Linked DNA regions of Pelodiscus sinensis. The protein of the gene in region 1 purifies or fractionates together with the protein of each later gene. This does not show direct contact. Links are inferred from orthologs where the notes say so. Each region holds a gene or a part of one and is shown in the gene's direction. Other genes may lie near its edges. The genes, in order: PSMC6 and ECPAS.

What was found.
Region 2: the proteins of PSMC6 (region 1) and ECPAS purify together in Homo sapiens (affinity purification with western blotting; 3 studies listed by BioGRID and IntAct, with this or other methods). This does not show direct contact. The link is inferred for Pelodiscus sinensis from reciprocal best matches to the Homo sapiens genes PSMC6 and ECPAS.

The regions. Positions count from the first base shown.
Region 1 is NC_134714.1:7,697,755-7,707,946, forward strand, and holds the start of PSMC6 (26S proteasome regulatory subunit 10B), read left to right. Parts: upstream 1-5,620; 5' UTR 5,621-5,652; coding exon 5,653-5,779; intron 5,780-8,001; coding exon 8,002-8,081; intron 8,082-8,432; coding exon 8,433-8,472; intron 8,473-8,680; coding exon 8,681-8,733; intron 8,734-9,624; coding exon 9,625-9,692; intron 9,693-10,172; coding exon 10,173-10,192. UniProt on the Homo sapiens protein: Component of the 26S proteasome, a multiprotein complex involved in the ATP-dependent degradation of ubiquitinated proteins.
Region 2 is NC_134716.1:10,163,321-10,173,842, forward strand, and holds the start of ECPAS (proteasome adapter and scaffold protein ECM29), read left to right. Parts: upstream 1-6,489; 5' UTR 6,490-6,701; coding exon 6,702-6,738; intron 6,739-10,063; exon of another isoform or gene 10,064-10,184; intron 10,185-10,522. UniProt on the Homo sapiens protein: Adapter/scaffolding protein that binds to the 26S proteasome, motor proteins and other compartment specific proteins. May couple the proteasome to different compartments including endosome, endoplasmic reticulum and centrosome.

The DNA.
Region 1 (10,192 bases):
GCACCAGCTCCCATGGAGCTGGCTGCTGCCCCACACTGCAGGAGCATGTAACCATGTAACCGCTGCAATTTTCAGCAGTTACACAATTACCCACCTACCCACTTTTTAACATCCCTAGTCTGTAAACATGTTGAGGATGGATACAAACCAAGTGTGGGCACCTCACTGTTTGAAACTAGTTTCAAAAATTGTTACGTCTTCCTGTGGACAGAGCCAAGAGGAAGTCGAAAAATTTTACAGTGCAGCTATACACTACTAGGTAAAGCAGTTCATTCTTTCTTTATAATGACCTAGATTTCTGTACATCGTCACCTGGTGGAACCTGACACAAGCACAGTCTAGAGAGCAGCAGGTGTAGCCTGATAGTGTATAGAATGAGTAATTCTGCAAAAGTCATTCCACTGTTGCAACTGAAAATTAGTGCAACCCCAGAGCTTCCTGACTGCGCAATTGTTAAAGAATGTCTTTAATGGTTTTACTTGCAACTGACTCTTCTCTATGCAAATTACAATATCTAAGTTGTTTGATTATTCATTTAATTATTATATTATAAAACCGATACTACGTGTTTTCTACCACACTCACCCTCTGAAGATGCAAAGCACCTCACAACTTCCCAGTAGGGAAGAGAAATAAAAATTGCCCTTGCTTTTCAGGAAGGGAAATTAAGGCACTGAAGATTGAGACCAGCATTGTCAATCTTGGGTGTCTTGAGTTAGTTTTGTCGCTCCATGCTTAGACACCCAGATAAAAGGGGCCTAATTTTCAAAAGCACTGATCCCTCAGAGCTCCCATTGACTTTGAATATTAGGTTGGACATTCAAAAAAAACTTTGTCAGGGTGGGCAAGGGTAACCCACACACCTGCTGGGTGCATTGTTCTGTACCATCTCTTGGCATTGAGACCACTTACAGAGAGTTTGCTCTAGAGGCGATCCTGGCAATTACAGACCGGTAAGTCTAACTTCAGTACCGGGCAAATTAGTCGAAACAATAGTAAAGAATAAAATTGTGAAGCATGTAGAAGAACATAATTTGTTGGACAAAAGTCAACATGGTTTCTGTAAAGGGAAATCCTGTTTTACTAATCTGTTAGAGTTCTTTGAAGGGGTTAACAAACATGCGGACAAGGGGGATCCAGTAGATATAGTATACTTAGATTTTCAGAAAGCCTTTGACAAGGTCCCTCACCAAAGGCTCTTGTGTAAATTACATGGCCATGGGATAAGAGGGAAGGTCCTTTCTTGGATTGAGAACTGGCTAAAAGACAGGAAACAAAGGGTAGGAATAAATGGTAAATTTTCAGATTGGAGAGGGGTAACTAGTGGTGTCCCCCAAGGGTCAGTCCTGGGACCAATCCTTTTCAACTTATTCATAAATGATCTGGAGAAAGGGGTAAGCAGTGAGGTGGTAAAGTTTGCAGATGATACAAAACTGTTTAGGATAGTGAAGACAGAAGCAGACTGTGAGGGACTCCAAGAAGATCTCACCAAACTGAGTGATTGGGCAACAAAATGGCAAATGAAATTTAATGTGGATAAGTGTAAAGTAATGCACATCGGGACAAATAACCCCAACTATACGTACAGTATGATGGGGGCTAATTTGGCTACGACAAATCAGGAAAGAGATCTTGGAGTTATCGTGGACAGTTCTCTGAAAACTTCCACGCAGTGTGCAGCGGTGGTCAAAAAGGCAAATAGGATGCTAGGTATTATTAGGAAAGGGATAGAAAATAAGACCCAGAATATCTTACTGCCCCTCTATAAAACTATGGTACGCCCACATCTTGAATACTGTGTACAGATGTGGTCTCCTCACCTCAAAAAAGGTATTTTGGCCTTGAAAAGGGTTCAGAAAAGGGCAACTAAAATGATTAGGGGTTTGGAACAGGTCCCATATGAAGAGAGGTTAAAGCGACTGGGACTTTTCAGTTTAGAAAAGAGGAGACTGAGGGGGGATATGATAGAGGTCTATAAAATCATGAGTGGTGTGGAGAGGGCCGATAAAGAAAAGTTATTTATTAGTTCCCTAAATAGAAGAACTAGAGGACACCAAATGAAATTAATGGGGAGCAGGTTTAAAACTAATAAAAGAAAGTTCTTCTTCACACAGCGTGGTGTCAACCTGTGGAACTCCTTGCCAGAGGAGGCTGTGAAGGCTAGGACTATAATAGAGTTTAAAGAGAAGCTAGATAATTTCATGGAGGTTAGGTCCATAAAAGGCTATTAGCCAGGGGATAAAATGGTGTTCTTGGCCTCTGTTTGTCAGAGGCTGGAGAGGGATGGCAGGAGACAAATCGCTTGATCATTGTCTTCGGTCCACCCTCTCTGGGGCACCTGGTGCTGGCCACTGTCGGTAGACAGGATACTGGGCTAGATGGACCTTTGGTCTGACCCAGTACGGCCGTTCTTATGTTCTTATGTTTGTAAGCCACCTCAAACATTTCAAACAGAGAGGTGAGGTAAAAATATTTTAAATAAATAAATAATAGTTACAGACTAACACGGGTACCCCTGAGATCCCTTTCTGATGTTAATGGTGGTGGAGTCGTGTTTCTTCTACCCTGCTTGCTAAGAGTGAATTCACGGGGAGCTGAAATCACTTGAGACTGATGGGCAGAGATCACAGCCAAAAAGTGGATGGCAACCTGTGGTGACTGACAGCCGTCAGGACAGTGGTGGAGAGATGCAATGAGAGACCAGCAGGACAGAGGTGGAGAGATATAACGAGCAGCCAGCAGGGCAGCGACAGAGAGGTGTAGCAAGCAGCCAGCAGGGCGGCGATAGAGGGGTGCGGCAAGCAGCCAGCAAGGTGGCGACAGAGAGGTGTGGCAGGTAGCCAGAAGGGCGGCGATAGAGGGGTGCGGCAAGCAGCCAGCAGGGCGGTGACAGTGAGGTGCGGCAAGCAGCCAGCAGGGCGGCGATAGAGGGGTGCGGCAAGCAGCCAGCAAGGTGGCGACAGAGAGGTGTGGCAAGCAGCCAGCAGGGCGGCGATAGAGGGGTGCGGCAAGCAGCCAGCAAGGTGGCGACAGAGAGGTGTGGCAAGCAGCCAGCAGGGCGGCGATAGAGGGGTGCGGCAAGCAGCCAGCAAGGTGGCGACAGAGAGGTGTGGCAAGCAGCCAGCAGGGCGGCGATAGAGGGGTGCGGCAAGCAGCCAGCAAGGTGGCGACAGAGAGGTGTGGCAAGCAGCCAGCAGGGCGGTGACAGAGAGGTGTGGCAAGCAGCCAGGAAGGTGGCGACAGAGAGGTGTGGCAGGTAGCCAGAAGGGCGGCGATAGAGGGGTGCGGCAAGCAGCCAGCAGGGCGGTGACAGTGAGGTGCGGCAAGCAGCCAGCAGGGCGGCGACAGAGAGGTGTGGCAAGCAGCCAGCAGGGCGGCGATAGAGGGGTGCGGCAAGCAGCCAGCAGGACGGCGACAGAGAGGCGTGGCAAGCAGCCAGCAGGGCGGCGACAGAGAGGCGTGGCAAGCAGCCAGCAGGGCGGTGACAGTGAGGTGTGGCAAGCAGCTGGATGGCAAATGGCCAGCAGAGTAAGATGCCTCTTTGTCCCCCTGCCCCCATTCAGGATGAGAGATAAACTCTGTGGATGCACCTTTGAACTCTAGTCTGCCCTGGCTTGGCCAAGGGCAGCAACTTGGAGTGGGGTGCAGAGAAGGGGTGGGCATGTGACGGGGACATTGAGGTTGCTGGACTTAAGAACCTGAGAGGAAAAGGACACTGTCCAACCTGCTTGGGGTGGGACTGTTACTCGTGGTTGTTTATGAGCCCTGTTTGTGGTGTGTTCCCAAGTTACTTCCCTCTCTCTTATTAAAAGTCTCTTTTCTACGCTCACTCAGACGCTGTGCTTGTGAATGGGGGAGCATTGCCTCTCAGAGACGCCCAGAAGTGTTGTGTGAATTTCCCAGGTTACTGGGCTGGGGCTTGAGCCAGGTCAGTGTTGAATGGATGGAGAAGAACCCCTAGCTATTGAACCTGGCCCTGGCTGCAGCTGGCTCCACGTGGCAGAAGGGTTGCATCTGTGTTGTATGTCAGAGGATGTTCAGCTCAGACCACACCCACTCAAACAAACTGTCACAAGGAGGTTTTAGCCTGTAAAGAAACGATGAACAGGAAGAATGACAATCCAGTAGCCTCCTGTCTCCTTGTTTGCCTGGCACTCCCAGCTTCAGTCAGTGCTGACACTTCCTGCTAGGAAGGCAAAGGTCAGGTGCATCTTGGCAGGAACCACCGCATTTGTAGTTCCCAGTACTTCTGAAGTATACAACCCTGGGCTACCTAAGCAAGCCTATTTTAGTCTTGAAGTAAAAGCACTGCAGAGAAAACATATTAAAAATATATAAGAAGCTACATACAATCTAAGGAGAAATCTCCTCCTCTTGGTCTGTGTTAGTCCTTCCGACCCTTCCCTAGGGAGCAGGACCCTCTGTTGAGCAGAGCTCCCCTCAGTTTGCTGGATCAAAAGAAAAAACCCAGACCCGGATTAAAAGCAGGCTGTTTCTCTAATAATGCCGTCTGGGTCTGGTCCCATGCGAATCCCGTCTGAACTAGTATTTGCAAACTTCTGTGGGGGGTGGGTTCCAAAAACTGATAACCACGGGAGTTACAACATCCGCATATCCCCTCCTCTTAGAGAAGCGATGCGCAATCTCACAATAACATGTACACAATTGCATTTTAACACCATGGACCCCCCAAAGAGCTACACTTCAGTTCAGTAAAGCTGGTCCAGGTTACTTATCTCTATCACAGAGGGGAGATAGGAGCCGGACTTCTCTAGGAAGTAGGGAAGGATGAGCCCTGAGAAGGGCTCTTTGCAGAGTTTTCCTCCTCTTGTTAGGTGACTTGTGTAAACCTTTTCAGGACTGGGGTCTACCACACAGAGCTTAACTTTGTGCCTGCAAGCACCTCCTGGCTATGTCTACACTCCAAGGTGGACACCCCTGTGGAGTGTCCACACCTCAAGCGCACTTTTGCGCAAGAAAATCGACAGAACAGAGGGCTTTTTCCAGGGCAGTTATTCCTCTCCCCACGAGGAATAACTCCTTTGTGTGCCACAGCTCTTGTGCAAAAAGGCAGGTGTGGACTCTCCGCAGGAAGAAGAAACCCCTCCGGGAAAAAGCACAGGTGCAAGACCTTCCTTGCACAAGAGTGTCCATGCAGCGTGGCCGCTCGCGTGTGCGCAGGCACGTGGCTGCGCTTTGAGGTCTGGACGCGCTTTTGTGCCAGACGTTTTTGTGCAAAATCTCTGGCGCAAACGGCGTCTTCTCCAAAAACCCTGCGGTGTAGACGAACCCCCTCCCCGGGGGGGGGGGGGGAGCTAAGCAGGGGGCACAGGGTGTGAGATCCAGGCTGCTGGAGCCATCACCGCCCATGGAGTGTGTTTTACAATTTGTCAAGAGAATGCATTTTTGGCCCCCCTCCCCCCCCCAGCAGTGCCACGCCCCCGCGGCATCGCTCCCTCCCTCCCGGGGCTGGCTGTGCCCTGCCCTGCTGGCGCGGTGCTCACGGGCACTAGGACCCGGGGAGGCCGCGCGGGCGGCGGCGGGCGGGCGGGCGCGGCTCCCCGCCGGGGCGCCAGGGGGCGCTGTGGGCGGGGCGCGCGGCCGGCGCGCGGGGCGGGGCAGGCGGGGCGCGCGGCCCGGCCCCCGGCGGCCATGGCCCTTCCCGGCATTCCCTATGAGCGGCGCCTGCTCATCATGGCGGACCCGCGAGACAAGGCGCTGCAGGATTATCGCAAGAAGCTGCTGGAGCACAAGGAGATCGACGGGCGCCTCAAGGAGTGTGAGCGCCGCGCGGCCGGGGGGGCCTCCTAGGGCGGAATGGGGGGGGCGAGGAGAGGGGGGGCCGGGCCTCCCAGGGCGGAATGGGGGGGCGAGGAGAGGGGGGGCCGGGCCTCCCAGGGCGGAATGGGGGGGCGAGGAGAGGGGGGGCCGGGCCTCCTAGGGCGGAATGGGGGGGGCGAGGAGAGGGGGGGCCGGGCCTCCTAGGGCGGAATGGGGGGGGTGAGGAGAGGGGGGGCCGGGCCTCCTAGGGCGGAATGGGGGGGGCGAGGAGAGGGGGGGCCGGGCTTCCTAGGGCGGAATGGGGGGGCGAGGAAGGAAGGGGGGGGCCGGGCCTCCTAGGGCGGAATGGGGGGGGCGAGGAAGGAAGGGGGGGCCTGGGCCTCCTAGGGCGGAATGGGGGGGCGAGGAAGGAAGGGGGGGGCCGGGCCTCCTAGGGCGGAATGGGGGGGGCGAGGAAGGAAGGGGGGGCCTGGGCCTCCTAGGGCGGAATGGGGGGGGCAAAGAAACGGGGGGGCCTGGGCCTCCTAGGGCGGAATGGGGGGGGCAAAGAAACGGGGGGGGCCGGGCCTCCTAGGGCGGAATGGGGGGGGGCGAGGAGAGGGGACCGGGCCTCCTAGGGCGGAATGGGGGGGGGGCGAGGAGAGGGGACCGGGCCTCCTAGGGCGGAATGGGGGGGGGCGAGGAGAGGGGACCGGGCCTCCTAGGGCGGAATGGGGGGGGGCGAGGAGAGGGGACCGGGCCTCCTAGGGCGGAATGGGGGGGGGCGAGGAGAGGGGGGGGCCTGGGCCTCCTAGGGCGGAATGGGGGGGGCAAGGAGAGGGGGGGGGCCTGGGCCTCCTAGGGCGGAATGGGGGGGGGCAAGGAAACGGGGGGGGCCGGGCCTCCTAGGGCGGAATGGGGGGGCAAGGAAACGGGGGGGGCCGGGCCTCCTAGGACGGAAGGGGGGGCCTGGGCCTCCTAGGGCGGAATGGGGGGGCAAGGAAACGGGGGGGCCTGGGCCTCCTAGGGCGGAATGGGGGGGGCAAAGAAACGGGGGGGGCCGGGCCTCCTAGGGCGGAATGGGGGGGCAAGGAAACGGGGGGGCGGGCCTCCTAGGGCGGAATGGGGGGGGCAAGGAAGGAAGGGGGGCCTGGGCCTCCTAGGGCGGAATGGGGGGGCAAGGAAACGGGGGGGGCCGGGCCTCCTAGGGCGGAATGGGGGGGGCAAGGAAACGGGGGGGGCCGGGCCTCCTAGGGCGGAATGGGGGGGGCAAGGAAAGGGGGGGGGCCGGGCCTCCTAGGGCGGAATGGGGGGGCGAGGAAACGGGGGGGCCTGGGCCTCCTAGGGCGGAATGGGGGGGCAAGGAAGGAAGGGGGGGCCTGGGCCTTCTAGGGCGGAATGGGGGGGGCAAGGAAGGAAGGGGGGGCCCGGGCCTCCTAGGGTGGAATGGGGGGGGCAAGGAAGGAAGGGGGGGGCCAGGCCTCCTAGGGTGGAATGGGGGGGCAAGGAAGGAAGCGGGGGCGGGCCTCCTAGGGTGGAATGGGGGGGGCAAGGAAGGAAGGGGGGGCCGGGCCTCCTAGGGTGGCATTGGGGAGAGGGAAGCGGGGGCATCCCCCTGGAGGTGGGGGTCTGGCCGCTGCCCTGATTCAGTGTGTGAGAGGAGGGGGTTAATACCCTGTTTAAGGAATCCCCCCTCCTAAAGAGGCGTGCCCAGTCCCAGCCCCCTACCCCGGCTGGTTATTAGGGTTTCAGAGGGGAAGCTGAGTTAGTCTGTAACAGGAAAAACTTTAAAGAACAACAACAACAAATAGTCTGGTAGCACCTTAAAGACTAACAAAACATGGAGATGGTGTCCTGAGCTTTCGTGGGCAACTGGATTTTACCTGTGGAAGCTCATGATGCGATTTACATGATTATTAGGGTAGGCCCCACAGAGCTAACACTAGGCCAGGGATATATGTGTATGGAGAAGTGATTAAAGTATCTTGTTTTCCCATTAGCATTCTCCTAGTCTAATGCAAGCCAGAGTTATTTCAGAGGGGGGTAACCCATTGGGATTGGTGGGGTGTCATCACTCTGGGCTAGAATGACTGCTTCTAGCAAGAATAGCCAATCGCTGATTCTCCTGTATCAACTCGAACTGATTTCAGGGTTATATCTTCTCTGCAAATTGACAAGCCCTGGTGCTTGGTTTCTAATAGATTAAAGGGTAGTAAATCCTTTTCTTTTTTTGTGTTTTAGTAAGGGAACAACTGAAAGAGCTTACCAAGCAGTATGAAAAATCTGAAAATGACCTCAAGGCTTTGCAGAGTGTTGGACAGGTACGCATTATACATAATGACACAACTGTGGATGGCATTGGGTGGTAGGTGAGCTGTGCTTAACAAATTATTACCACAGTTGAAGAATATGAACAGGATATGGTACCCTCAGAGCAAATGTACCACGGTGTGGTCTTTTACAAGTGGTAAGTACACAGAGTTAGGTGTATTTTTAACAGCTGTTCCTGGTTTATGGGCAATAAGAAAGAAATAGAATAGTAGGCCGCTCCTGTGGAGCAGGAATAGGGTGTAAAGGTGACAGGCAAAGATCAAATTAGGAATGTATGTTAAATATGCTATATACTAATACTTTCATAGATGCAGATAATACTTTTTTCCATTTTTTCATAGATTGTTGGTGAGGTTCTTAAACAGTTAACAGAAGAGAAATGTAAGTTTCTTCGCTGATATATTTTACTTTTTTAAACTTCTGGTCTTCAAGATAAGCAAAATAAATGACACATTTAAAGAATGAAATGGAGCATTACTAATTAGTCATCACTATGAAAATATTGTATAATTGCTACTTATTTTGTACCAGCAATCAGGGGGATTAAAAAGCTTTATCTTGTTTTCTCTGTCATTTTCTCTCTCTTTAGTCATTGTGAAAGCTACAAATGGGCCAAGATATGTGGTTGGCTGTCGTCGTCAGGTAACACTGCTTTGCTTGGATGTTTTTAAATAGCTTGCTCTGATATTAAGTATTCATTTTTTGTTACATATTTAAAGTCAGCAAGTTTGTACACTATTCTTTAAGTTGCGCTTGGCTACTAACATAGATGTAGTGCTCTCTGCAGTGTAGAGATCGGTATGGCATGCCGAGAGTGCTGGAATGAATTCATGGGAATAATAAAGCAAAGTGTAAACAGCCTGAGATGATATGGGATTCTTTTAGTTTTTTTTTTGGTTCTTATAAAGTTAAGTATAAGCTGTTAAGGCTATACCAGAACCCCATTCCTCTAATGTTTAGAAACCCTCTAATTTCTAGCCTAAATCTACTCGTGGCTAGTTCATCCCTATTTGTTCTTCTGCCAGTGTTGTCCTTTAGCTGAGAGAGCTCTTCTCTCTCTCTCTCTGATATTTACCCATTTGATGTATGTAGAAATAGCAGTCCTTTTCCCTCTTAGCCTTTGTTTTGCTAGGCTAAACTAACCAAGCTTTTTTAAGTCAGGTCTACCCTAAACCCGGCAGCTTGTCATAAGGTACTCAACTTCAGCAACGTAGAATACATAGCTGGAGTCACCTTATTTTAAGCTGAGCTTGATGGTGTCCCCAAGGTGTAAGGGGTGAAAACAGGTGTAGGAATACATAATCAACCAAACTGCCTGCCCGAATTGCAGGGGTGTTGTAATCCACTACATTCCTCTTGATCGGCTATCTTCACTTGTATCAGAGGGAGAGGGGAAAGTCACTAACTGAACCCATGCTGGCACTAAATCCTTTTTCTGTCATACCAAACAAGAACAATTACTGCAGAAATACAGAATTCCATCACTTTGCTGTTTGAGTCAATTTCTAATAGAAACATCTCTTGTAACACTAGCTTGACAAAAGTAAGCTGAAGCCAGGGACAAGAGTTGCTCTGGATATGACTACACTAACTATTATGAGGTAAGTTTTTGCCAACAAGTTATTTTTTTTTCTATGAAGGACAGAGTTGGTCTAAACATGTTGCAGATAGTAGGTGTGAACAAAGTGCTTCAAAAATCTTTCAAATACATTATATGGGCAGATACGTCCGACGTGATCTTACCGATTTACCACAGCTAGTCAATTTTTGTTTGTTTGCTTGAAATGACTCTTTAGTCAAAACAGAAACTTCTGTAGGAAATATCTGGTATTGTCAACATTTCTGAGTATTTTGTTGAAACCCTCCCCAAATGTTTAACTTCTGAAAAGTTTCTGACTTCCAGTCTTCACGTTTTATTGCAAAAATGATTTATAGATTTGGAGAGAAAATGTCCATTTTTTTTCATAGGGGAAACAAGAATTTGCCAACCAGCACTAAGATTTATTTAAATGACTGATGAATATACGGTCTGTTCAGAATGAAGAGATAACATCTGTTTTATTAATACTCAAATGTTACAGATACTTGCCAAGGGAAGTGG
Region 2 (10,522 bases), on another chromosome or scaffold:
GTCATAAAAGACATAAGTTCATTCATTCTGCATCACTAGAATCAGTGGTAGCAGCATCCTCCTCAGCGTCTTGAGTTTTCAAAACTTTCGGCATAATTGCTGTTTTGAAAAACATCTGTAAAATCCATATCCAAGGCTAGGTGAGCTTTGGTGACGGTTGAGGTCTGTGGTGCCGAATCAGCATCGCTGTCGTAGTCAGATTTAGAGCTAGACAAGTCAACGTCGGGAAGAATTTTATGTTTACAGAACCCATTCCGAATAGTAGCTACTTGGCTTTCTATCCATGGTGTGCTTTTTTCCTACGATGTAATTTCGCAAAATCTGCTGCTTCCTTTCTCCACTCCTGAACAGACTTTTCGTTGACAGAATATTTTCTCCCTGCTGCTCGGTTTCCATTATTCTTTGCATATGTCACAACTCACAATTTAAAGTCGGCTGTGTAGGATTTGCGCTTAGGCATGTTTAAAAAGTTTTAAGAAGTTTTCAATACTTTTTTTAAAGTTCATTACAAGTTAAAACTACTAAAGGAATAAATAAATGGTAAAATGGTGTGGTTCAAAGGGGTTATATACCCGCAATAAGGCTTGTAGCATACTTACTGCTCAGTGTCATTAGCTGCAGTTCATTAACACTTCATTACAGGTGCTGTTCATTAACAGTACCTGCCATTTGTTTTCCACAGGCTATACACGTGCACGGGTTATCTAAAACTTTTTTTACACAATCAGGAAAAACCGTGGGTTGTGCATGGGTGTGGGTAATACACGTGCATGGGTTATATATGCTAATTTATGGTACTTTGCTTTGAGAAGGCTGGCTAGATATTGGTAAACCTTGGGAGAGAACAGTAGGGCAAGTGCTGAACTAAAAACAGACTTGCTAAGGTGATAACAATGTGTGTCCAAATCCTTGGTGTAGGAGAGGAATATAGGTTACTGCCCTGAGAGACCTGAACCCATAAAGGCCTGGGAAACAGTGATAGGGCTGCCAATTTTCCTGACATTATACCATTTGCAGCAATGCACATCAGACCCAGCCAACACATCTGCAATTCCTCCCCACTCCTTTTTCTGTTTTTATAGCTTAGCTCCCTAGGATCTTATCAGTTTTCTTTCCCCTGCTATTTTTTCCAGTCTTCACTATGGATGTAGTAGTGTAGTTGATTAACCAATTAGCAAAAGCTTAAAGGTTAATGCTATAGACTACACAGGTTTCCCTCTTTTCCCCCTCCCTCCGCCAGTAATTTTTTTAGCTGGCTGGCCAGCAGCGTGGCTCAGTCCTGGCTCCTTCCAGGTCCAGGACCTACTGCCCCCTCCTCCCCCTATGGCTCTGCATTTAAAGTGTATTAGGAGCCAGATGGAGTGGCGTGGGGCCGGAGCACACTGGCTGCCGGCCTCACCCCTGGGGACTATAGAATAGTCAAATGACCGGCCCCAAATACTTGACTATTCAGGTAACCAGTATTTAATATCTCTAGTCTCCGTTAGGGAATAAGCACCTCTTCTGCATGCGCTCACCTAATTGACTTCGATAAAAATTCAACCTTGAGGCCTGCTTTCTTTGTGCTTTCACTATCCAGTCACTTAGGCAAACTTTCCTGGCATTTTCTATTTGCTGGTTTGTGTATTTCATTTAATAGTGAAAATGAGGCATCCTTTCATTTCAATGTGCTTTTCTGATTCCTTACAGTTCTGAACTCTCAAAACTTTTTATAAAGCTTGTGGCATCTGAACAGGGCCCTCCAGCTATCCAAAAATAGTATTGATGTATAATAAAAAAAATGCCTGATCAGTGAAAATGCCTTCCTCAGCCTCAAAGGATGGTCAGCTCCTTCCAAGCATTAATGTGGTTAACATCCCTTTATCTTCTTGAATTTCTGCTAAATATGTAATGCATGAACTCTTTTGATTTATTTATGACTTTGCCTCACTAATTCCTTTCCACTAATTCACCCCTCCCTTTAAAACATAAAGCCTCTTTAAATTATCCCTACATTTATCCTTGTATCCTATATATACCTAGTCTTGTGAGATTTGTAGCCCTTTACAGTCCCAGGTGTATAAGAGCAAAAAGGTTTGCCACCCAGCAAATTTAAACTGGAACAGACTAACCCTTGGTTTTGATACAATAGGCTGAGGCATTTTCTCAAAATCAGACCATTTCCAGTAAACTGGGAACTAGTCACACAGTTATCATAAAAATAGCCTCTTTGTTAATTTGAACTGTGATGCTACTGAAATGGCAGTCTTGCCATGTTTTTTTTTTTTTTTTTTTTTTCATTTACATTTATTTCTCTCTACAGGCAGTCCCCGGGTTACGTACAAGATAGGGACTGTAGGTTTGTTCTTAAGTTGAATCTGTATGTAAGTCGGAACTGGCGTCCAGATTCAGCCGCTGCTGAAACTGATCAGTTTCAACAGCGGCTGAATCTGGACGCCAGTTCTGACTTACATACAGATTCAACTTAAGAACCCCAGGCATCCCCAAGTCAGCTGCTGCTGAAACTGATCAGCGGCTGATTCCAGGAAGCCCAGGGCAGGGGCTTCCTGTAGTCAGCCACTGGTCAGTTTCAGCAGCGGCTGACTTGGGGACGCCTGGGACAGAGCAGCTGGGGTGCTGCTGGGTTGGTCCAGTAGCACCGCCGCTCCTCAGCGCTACTGGATCAACCCAGCAGCACCCAAACTGCTCTGCCCCAGGTGTCCTGATTCAGCCGCTGCTGAATCTGACCAGCAGTGGCTGAATCAGGACGCCTGGGGCAGATCAGCTGGGGTGCTGCCCGGTTGGTCCAGTAGCGCCCAGAGCGGCGCTATGGGACCAACTGGCAGCGCCCCAGCTGCTGTACCACAGGTGTCCGGAGCAAAGCCATGGAGCACAGGGGCAGCGGGACAGCCCAGACGCGCCGTGGCTGTCCTGCTGCCCTCGGGCTCCGTGGCTTTGCTCTGCTTTGTTCCCCGTCCCCCTGGTCTGCAGACCAGGGGGACGGGGAGCAAAGCGGCGGAACACGCGGGCAGCGGACAGCCCAGACGCGTCTGGGCTGTCCGCTGCCCGCGTGCTCCGCGGCTTGGCTCTGCTTTGCCCCCCCGTCCCCCTGGTCTGCAGACCAGGGGGATGGGGAGGGGCAAAGCAGAGCCAAGCCGCGGAGGACGCGGCCAGCTGACAGCTGTCAGCTGACTGCGCGCTCCGCGGCTTGGCTCTGCTTTGCCCCACCCCACCCCCCGTCCCCCTGGTCTGCAGACCGGGGGGGGGGGGGCAAAGCAGAGCCAAGCCTCGGAGCGCGTGGGCAGCGGACAGCCCTGTCCGCTGCCCACGTGTTCCGCCGCTTTGCTTCCTCTCCCTGGTCTGCTGGAGACCAGGGAGAGGAACGGCCCCGTTTGTAACTGCGGATCCGACGTAAGTCGGATCCGCGTAACTCGGGGACTGCCTGTATATTAACTTTTCCTTCTCTTGCTTGTTTGTTCCCATTTTCTTAAATCCTTTTCTTGACATGAACACAACTAGCTCTTGCCAGCCCATTTTTGATAGACCCAACTCTCACCACAGGATGATAACATTTCACTTAAGCAGTTTGTTGCACCTTTTGCTACAAAAATAAAATAGTTCACTGACAGTCTTATTATCCAATTTTTCCAGAACTAGCTTCTTCAATTCTTTATCAGCTTTAGTCAGTTTGTGCAGGAGGAAACACTGTTGTTAGGTGAAATTCACAGTCCCCTCAGTTTGAACTCCTGTGCTGTAGCCATTCTGACTAGGGCTTGAAGCAGTTTGGTGTCCTGTGTCTTTGTCATCTTCTGGTGACAGCAGGCTAACTGTGCATGCACCATCACTAACACACGCAACGCTTCCTGGTATGAGATCACTCTCCCCTTCCATCTGGATTCATAGGGTGCATATACATAGTACCCTAAACTCGAAATAAGATATGCAATTTGCACTATGCAAATTTCATAGCTTATTTTGAGTCTATTTTGAAATAAAGCGCTATTTGAGCCATTCCTTACTCCTGGTAGAATGAGGTTTATAGGGATGGCGAAATAGCTTGTCTGCTATTTTTCAAAATAGCGGACATATTCAGAAGACATGGGATAGCTATTTTGGGATACCTCTAGTATCCTGAAATAGCTTTGCAGTGTAGACATACCCATATAGAGCAAACTGCAACTTCTAACACTGGAAACCCTGATTTTAAAAAAAAGAACAAATAGGTAATGGATCAATGCCAGAATATTTCCAGTCCATTTGTTCTTCAGTCTCTAAGGAAAACGGCTCAACTTTCAAGGATCAGACAAGCTACAGCTATTATAAAAAAGCTGGGCACTGTAGGGTCTTCTGTAAATTATACTATGGAAAGATATGGAGGAAGGGAATGTGTGTACATTCTATATAAGCAGGGCTCAACAAACTATAGAATCTATTCGCCTGTGGCGAATAGATTTCAGCTGTGTGCCCCGTTTACCAGCGGTGCGCACATCCACAACGCGGCTCTTGCACATGCGCAGTGCAGGGCTGGCGAGCGACTTTTGCCGCTGTTTGTCAAGCCCTGTATATAAGGAAGTGCTAATATATTTGTTAGGTTTTGGGTTTTCCGTTATACAATTCAACCTTATGTTTAAAGTTGCTTAGAATTAACATTTGTCTTTTCTATTAACAGGGTTCGATAATATCTCAGTGAGAATAACCTCATGGCTAAAATAAAGGCTTTAAATATGAAACTTCTATTCTTTCCCAAATGCAGAGGTGTTTTTTTTTTTTTAAATATAGGTACCAGGAGGATAGGAGACAGAGTTGTTCCTTGGTGGATTTTTGTATTATACCTTGATGTTGGTACCCATTGAGAGTTGAAGCACTAGATGAGGATTGTTAATGTCTTTAAAAGAGTATTTGTAAATTAGAAACACTGAGGCTGTCTCTACACCGGCAAGTTATTCCAGAAAATCAGCCGCTTTTCCAGAAAAACTTGCCAGCTGTCTACACTGGCTGCTTGAATTTCCGGAAAAGCACCGATAATCTAATGTAAAATCATCAGTGCTTTTCCGGAAAAACTATGCTGCTCCCCTTTGGGCAAAAGTCTTTTTCCGGAAAACTGTTCCGGAAAAGGGCCAGCGTAGACAGCACAGTGGTGTTTTCCGCAAAAAAGCCCCGATTGCGAAAATGACGATCGGGGCTTTGTTGCGGAAAAGCGCGTCTAGATTGGCCACGGACGCTTTTCTGGAAAAAGTGCTTTTCCGGAAAAGCATCCTGCCAATCTCGACGCACTTTTCCAAAAATGCTTTTAATGGAAAACTTTTCCATTAAAAGCATTTCCGGAAAATCATGCCAGTGTAGACATATCCAGAGAGTGGAGGAGTCTAATGGAAATGCTTTAAATCCATATAGTTTAATCCACTCGTTTGAGCTCTAATTTAGAATAAGGCACACCTATTCTGGAGTATGAGTGTCCACACATGAAAAGTAATCGAATATGGCAGGATGTGAATTTAAAGCTGCTTAACTATTCCCCATTAAGTCCATGTGTGGACACACTAATTCCAGCATAAAAGTGCTGCTAATTCAGAATAAACCACTCTTATTCTGGAATAGGAATATTCATACATAGATACATTTAAAAAACAGCAAATGGTCTGGTAGCACTTTATAGATTAACAAGAGATGGTATCATGAGGTTTTGTGGGCACAGCCCACTTCTTCAGATGACTGGAGTTGTGAGCTTAGGATGTGCAGATCCAAACGAAATAGGGGAGAAGGAAAAAAATGGAAGGGTGTGGGAAACAAGGAGCAGAGGGTATAAAAATATAAAAGGGAAAACCAAATAGGTAGAACTGGTAATCTATGAGCACCTAAAGATTGGATAGTTAATCAGGATTAGCTATTAGGGCATAACTTCCCATGTAAAAGTCTAAAGTAGCTTGCAAAGAAAAACTAAGGTAAGGGAACAAAGTCCCTCCTGGAGCAGCTTGAGGGTATGGCCAGGACCCTAGTGGCTGTTGGGAGGACAGATGGGAGGAAGTAGCACCCCTCTGAGGGTGTTTCACACTTCCTCTAAATCTGTGCCTGGTCGGCATTGGCTACAAGTCCCGGGCAACACCTTTCCCAGCTAGAAAATCCTCCAGACTGCTACAAGCAGCTACCACAGATAGGGGGAGAAAGGCAGCGGCGTCGCTGTGCTGCTGACCCGAGCCTCTCCACCACCCCGACCCCCTTGCAAGTGGAGAGAAGTGCCTCGGGAGCCATGGAGGTCAGCCTGGACTCAGGTCAGTGGCCCGGCCTGGGGGCAGGCCGCGTGCGGGGGCAGGGCGAGGGAAGGCGCCCAGGGCCGCTGCGCACATGGAGCGGCCGCGGGGCTAGTGCCTGGCGCCCGTCGGCGAGCGGAGCTCTCGGGGCGGCCGGTGTCTCAGGCGGTGGCGTGGCGGAGGGGAGGGGAAAGCGGCCCGGGCGGGGGGGCTGGGACGATGGCTCAGCTCTTTCTAAATATAAAACTAAAGCGAAGCGAGGGAGGTTGGCCTGGGGGAGGGCGTGAGAGCCGCGCACCCTCCCCCTCCGCGGGAGCTGCCGGCGGGCGCGGCGAGCAGGCGGGCGGGCGCCCCGGGCCAGGCGGCGGCGGAGGGAGAGAGCCGGGCGAGGAGGGGAGGGACCGGGGCTGGGAGCCACCCTGAGCGAAGGGAGCCTCCGGAGCCGCGCGCCCCCGCCCCTCGGCGGCTGGCAACATGGCTGCGGCCGCCTCCGCCGCCCAGGACGAGCTGAGTAAGTGGGGCTGCGCGCGGGGGGGCTCTTGGCCGACAGGACCCCCCCTTCCCCTCCCGCCGCGTGTCCGCGCTGGGGCCGGGCCGGCGCTGCGGCGGGAGCGGGGAAGGGCTGTGAGGGGGGGATGCGGGTTTCCTCGCCCCAGTGTCCGGGCGCTGCGCCCCGGGGCCCCGGCGGGGGGAGCCGCGTTAGGCCGCGGCGGTGCGCAGTCATGGTGCGAAAGGGAAAGCGCGCTCTGAGGGGGCGAGCGCCCGCCCCGCTGTGTGTGTGGGGGGGGGGGGCACGAGCCCCAGCCTGCGGCTCCGGGGGCTGAACAGCCCCGGCACAGGCCGGGCAGCGCCGCAGTGACTCTGCTTTCCTGCCCGCTGGGGCCGGGGAGCGGCCCAGCCGCGGGGCAGGGCGAGGGGAGGGTGGCGCCGGCCTGAGGCTGCGCGCCCCGGCTCTGGAGTGCCCCTCCGCCCGGTGTCCCCGTCCCTGCCAGGGGCCTGGGCCCAGCTTGGGGAGCTGAGAGTTTCTGGGCGTGGGGCCCGCCGCAGGAACTGCTACTGAGGCCGGCTGGGAAATGTAGTCCTCGGTCCCAGGCTGTCAGCTGAGCCTGGCCCAGTGGTTAGAGCAGATCAGCTCTGCCTGCCCTGCTCAGTGATTGCAGGGGGGCGCCAGCTCCTCGCTGGGTGACCTTGGGCAAGCCCCGTCCTGGCCACCTGGACTCCGTTCTCCATCTCTGATCTGTCATTAGTTATTCTCCCTTATCAGGCAATAGCAGTGGTTCTCAAAGTGTGTGTGTGTGTGTGTGGGGGGCGCGCTCAGGAGCCATGGGGGTATTACCTGGGGGATTGTGAGCTGTCAGGCATCACCCCGAACTCTGCTTTGCCACCAGCATTTATGATAGGGCTAAACATTTTTTTAAAAAGTGTTTTTTAGTTTGTAAGGTCTCAGGGGGTAGCCATGTTAATCACTTTAAAAACGGCAAGTAGTTCTGTAGCAGCTTTAGAGACTAACAAATATATCAGGAGTATTTGTGGGGGAAAAACCCCCCGCTTCATCAGATGAGCTCGAGAGGGATAACATAAACCCAGAATTTATAACAGAAGAAAAAGGGGAGGGGAGAGGTAGAACCTGTCAGTTATAGGACCTGGGAAGTCACATTCAGAGGTTTGTTGTGTGAAAGTGGTCAGGAGTACAAAAGTTTGAAAACTGCTGGACTAGAGTATTGTGAAGCTTAATGTTTGTAGAGTCCTTAGAGATGCATGGATCAGAAGTGCTACAGATGTGTAAAGTATTATAAAGTTCTGGTCACTTATATTCTTCTTCAGATTTTCTGCTGAAAGCACACTGTAGATACAGATAAGCCTTCAGTCACTGTATATTTTTTCATTATAAGGAAAAAATATGAAAACTCTCCCCTTCCAGAGCTTGATATGTTTTGTTTGGATTTAAAGTAGAAACGTAATGTAAGAATAAAATATATTGGAAAACACATTTATCCATTTCAGTCTTCTTTTGTGCAAATGATGTTCCTAATCCCGCATTAAGAATTGCATGGCACACTGTGGGCCCATGCAGTTCTCAGTGCTGATGAGGATAGAAGTCAGAATTTGAGTAATGTAGTTGTGTAAGTTTAAAAATACTCATTTGCTGGTCAGAAATCGACACCCAGTTTTGGGTGGTTTTTTAACCTTCACATCTACTGGTGACTCTGGTGCAGTAAGTATAAACCTGTCTCTGAAGAAGTATAAAATGTTAAGGGAATGTTTTCTTGTTGCTGCATCTCCTGAGGTATAACTAGTTTTCAGATGATGTATAACCCAGCTGGGGGAACTATGAGCCTGATGTGTGGGCTGGGGAAAATGGTGTTTTGGACTTGACTTGGTTGTGGAATTGAATTACCACCAGAAACTCAGCAGAAGAAAGAAAGCTATTAAGGATTTTCAAGCTGCAAGCTGTCATATTTAAACCACACGTTGGTGTTTGCTGTGTAACTTTTCTGTGTCCTCTCTTTGGAGAGAACTCTAGTTTCTATAAACTGTTGGGTGAGGGGTATAGACAATGGAACACTAAAATACTAGTGGAGTCCCTACTGTCAATAATTCTGTTTTTTTGTTTTCAAGTCTGACACAAATGTTAACATGCTTACTCAAATGAGAGTTGGGATGAATCATTGTCATGACCATTTTCTGTAGTCTAGAAAAATTATTCCAACTCTATGGTCCCCCATCAGCCATGAAATTCTTCCTCAACAGTCAATGATACATCACTGTTGTTTCCTTTGCTCTCACACTTTGTGAAATTACTCAGGCCTTCTGACCTGAGGGTAGTGGGTATTTTTTTTTTTTTGAAAAGGGATGCTGGTGGTTTTTCTAATGCTACCTCTTATGAATAAATGGAAAAGTTGTGCAGTCAAAGATGAACTTTAACAAGAAACATAAGTAGTACCGGGAGAGGGGAAAACTGGGCAGACTTCTCAGGAAGAAGGATGTGAGAGACTAAAATTAGACATCACATTGTATTTTGTTAGGGATCTGATTGGTAGGATAATGAGCCTCCTGTAAGAGTAACCATGACTTTGTTTTAGACCAGAAATCCAATTTATCCCTGTTTTGTAGATATTTAGCTGTAATAAACTTTGGTCTGTAGAAGCAATCAAATAGATGAGCTGTTACTACCTTTTTTGTTGAGGGGGTGGAAAAAAGTGCTTGCTTAAACTTTTTCCATGAGGATATTCATGATTTGGTAGATGAACAACTTAAACAGTGATTGCTTGAATCCTAATTTAAAATCCATAAATTGGGCCTAGAGCTATGAGTGTTTTGAAACTGGCTCCCCCCCCCCCTCGTGTTGTATCTAGAGACTGGGTAGTAATCTAAAGGGAGACTAAACCTGACACACTGAACATGGAAATCCAAATTTTGACATTTAAGATCTGTATCTAAACTTTTCTCTGATATGGAGGAGTATGATGAAAACATAAAAATACTTCCCAAGAGTGAAAGATCACGCTTTATAAACTTGACTAGTGGTGTGGCCAGGTCCCTAATAGTGCTCTCCTAAAGTAATTCAAGATTGTGGTAGAGCAGTGGTCACCAACCAGCAGATTAGGATCTACTGGTAGATCTTGGAGCCTCTGTCAGGTGATCCTGACTGGTTTGGCCCTGTGGCTATCAAGTGCCTGCACTTCAGCTGTTCCTCTTCCCACTGCCGCACATCTCCTGCCCTTTGCCTTGGAACTGTTTCCCCCAGGAGCCTCCTGCTTGCTGTGCAGGAGAGGGAGAGGAGGGCACTGAAGTAAAGGCGCCCCCGTCTCCCACCTTGTATCCTGTCTCCACAGAGCAGAGTGGGGGCACAACAGGACTAGGGATAGAGCAAGTTTGCTGGCTGCTTTTGGGAGCTGTGCAGAGCTGGGGAAGGGTGAGCCTGCCTTAGCCTCACTACACCAGGAGCCAGCTGAGGTAAGCAGTGCCCAACTGAGGTCCACATCCTGAACCCCAACCCAAGTCATGAACTGCCTCGACCTCAAGCTCCTGCCCTAGCCCTGAGCCCTCATGCATGCGAACACCCTCCCAGAACCTGCAACTTGAACCCTGTCCTACAACCTAACTGCCTGCCCTAAGCTCGGCTGAGAGCCCCTCTCACACTCCAAATTGGGGTTGCCAGATGGCTGAAAGAAAAATATGGACCCCCCCCCAAAAAAACCCCACCAGAAAAATTTTTGTTGAAGGGGGGAAAAAAAGGAGGGGGGTGTACCAAAGTTGTTGAGCCAAAAAAAAAAAAACCCAAACACTCCAAG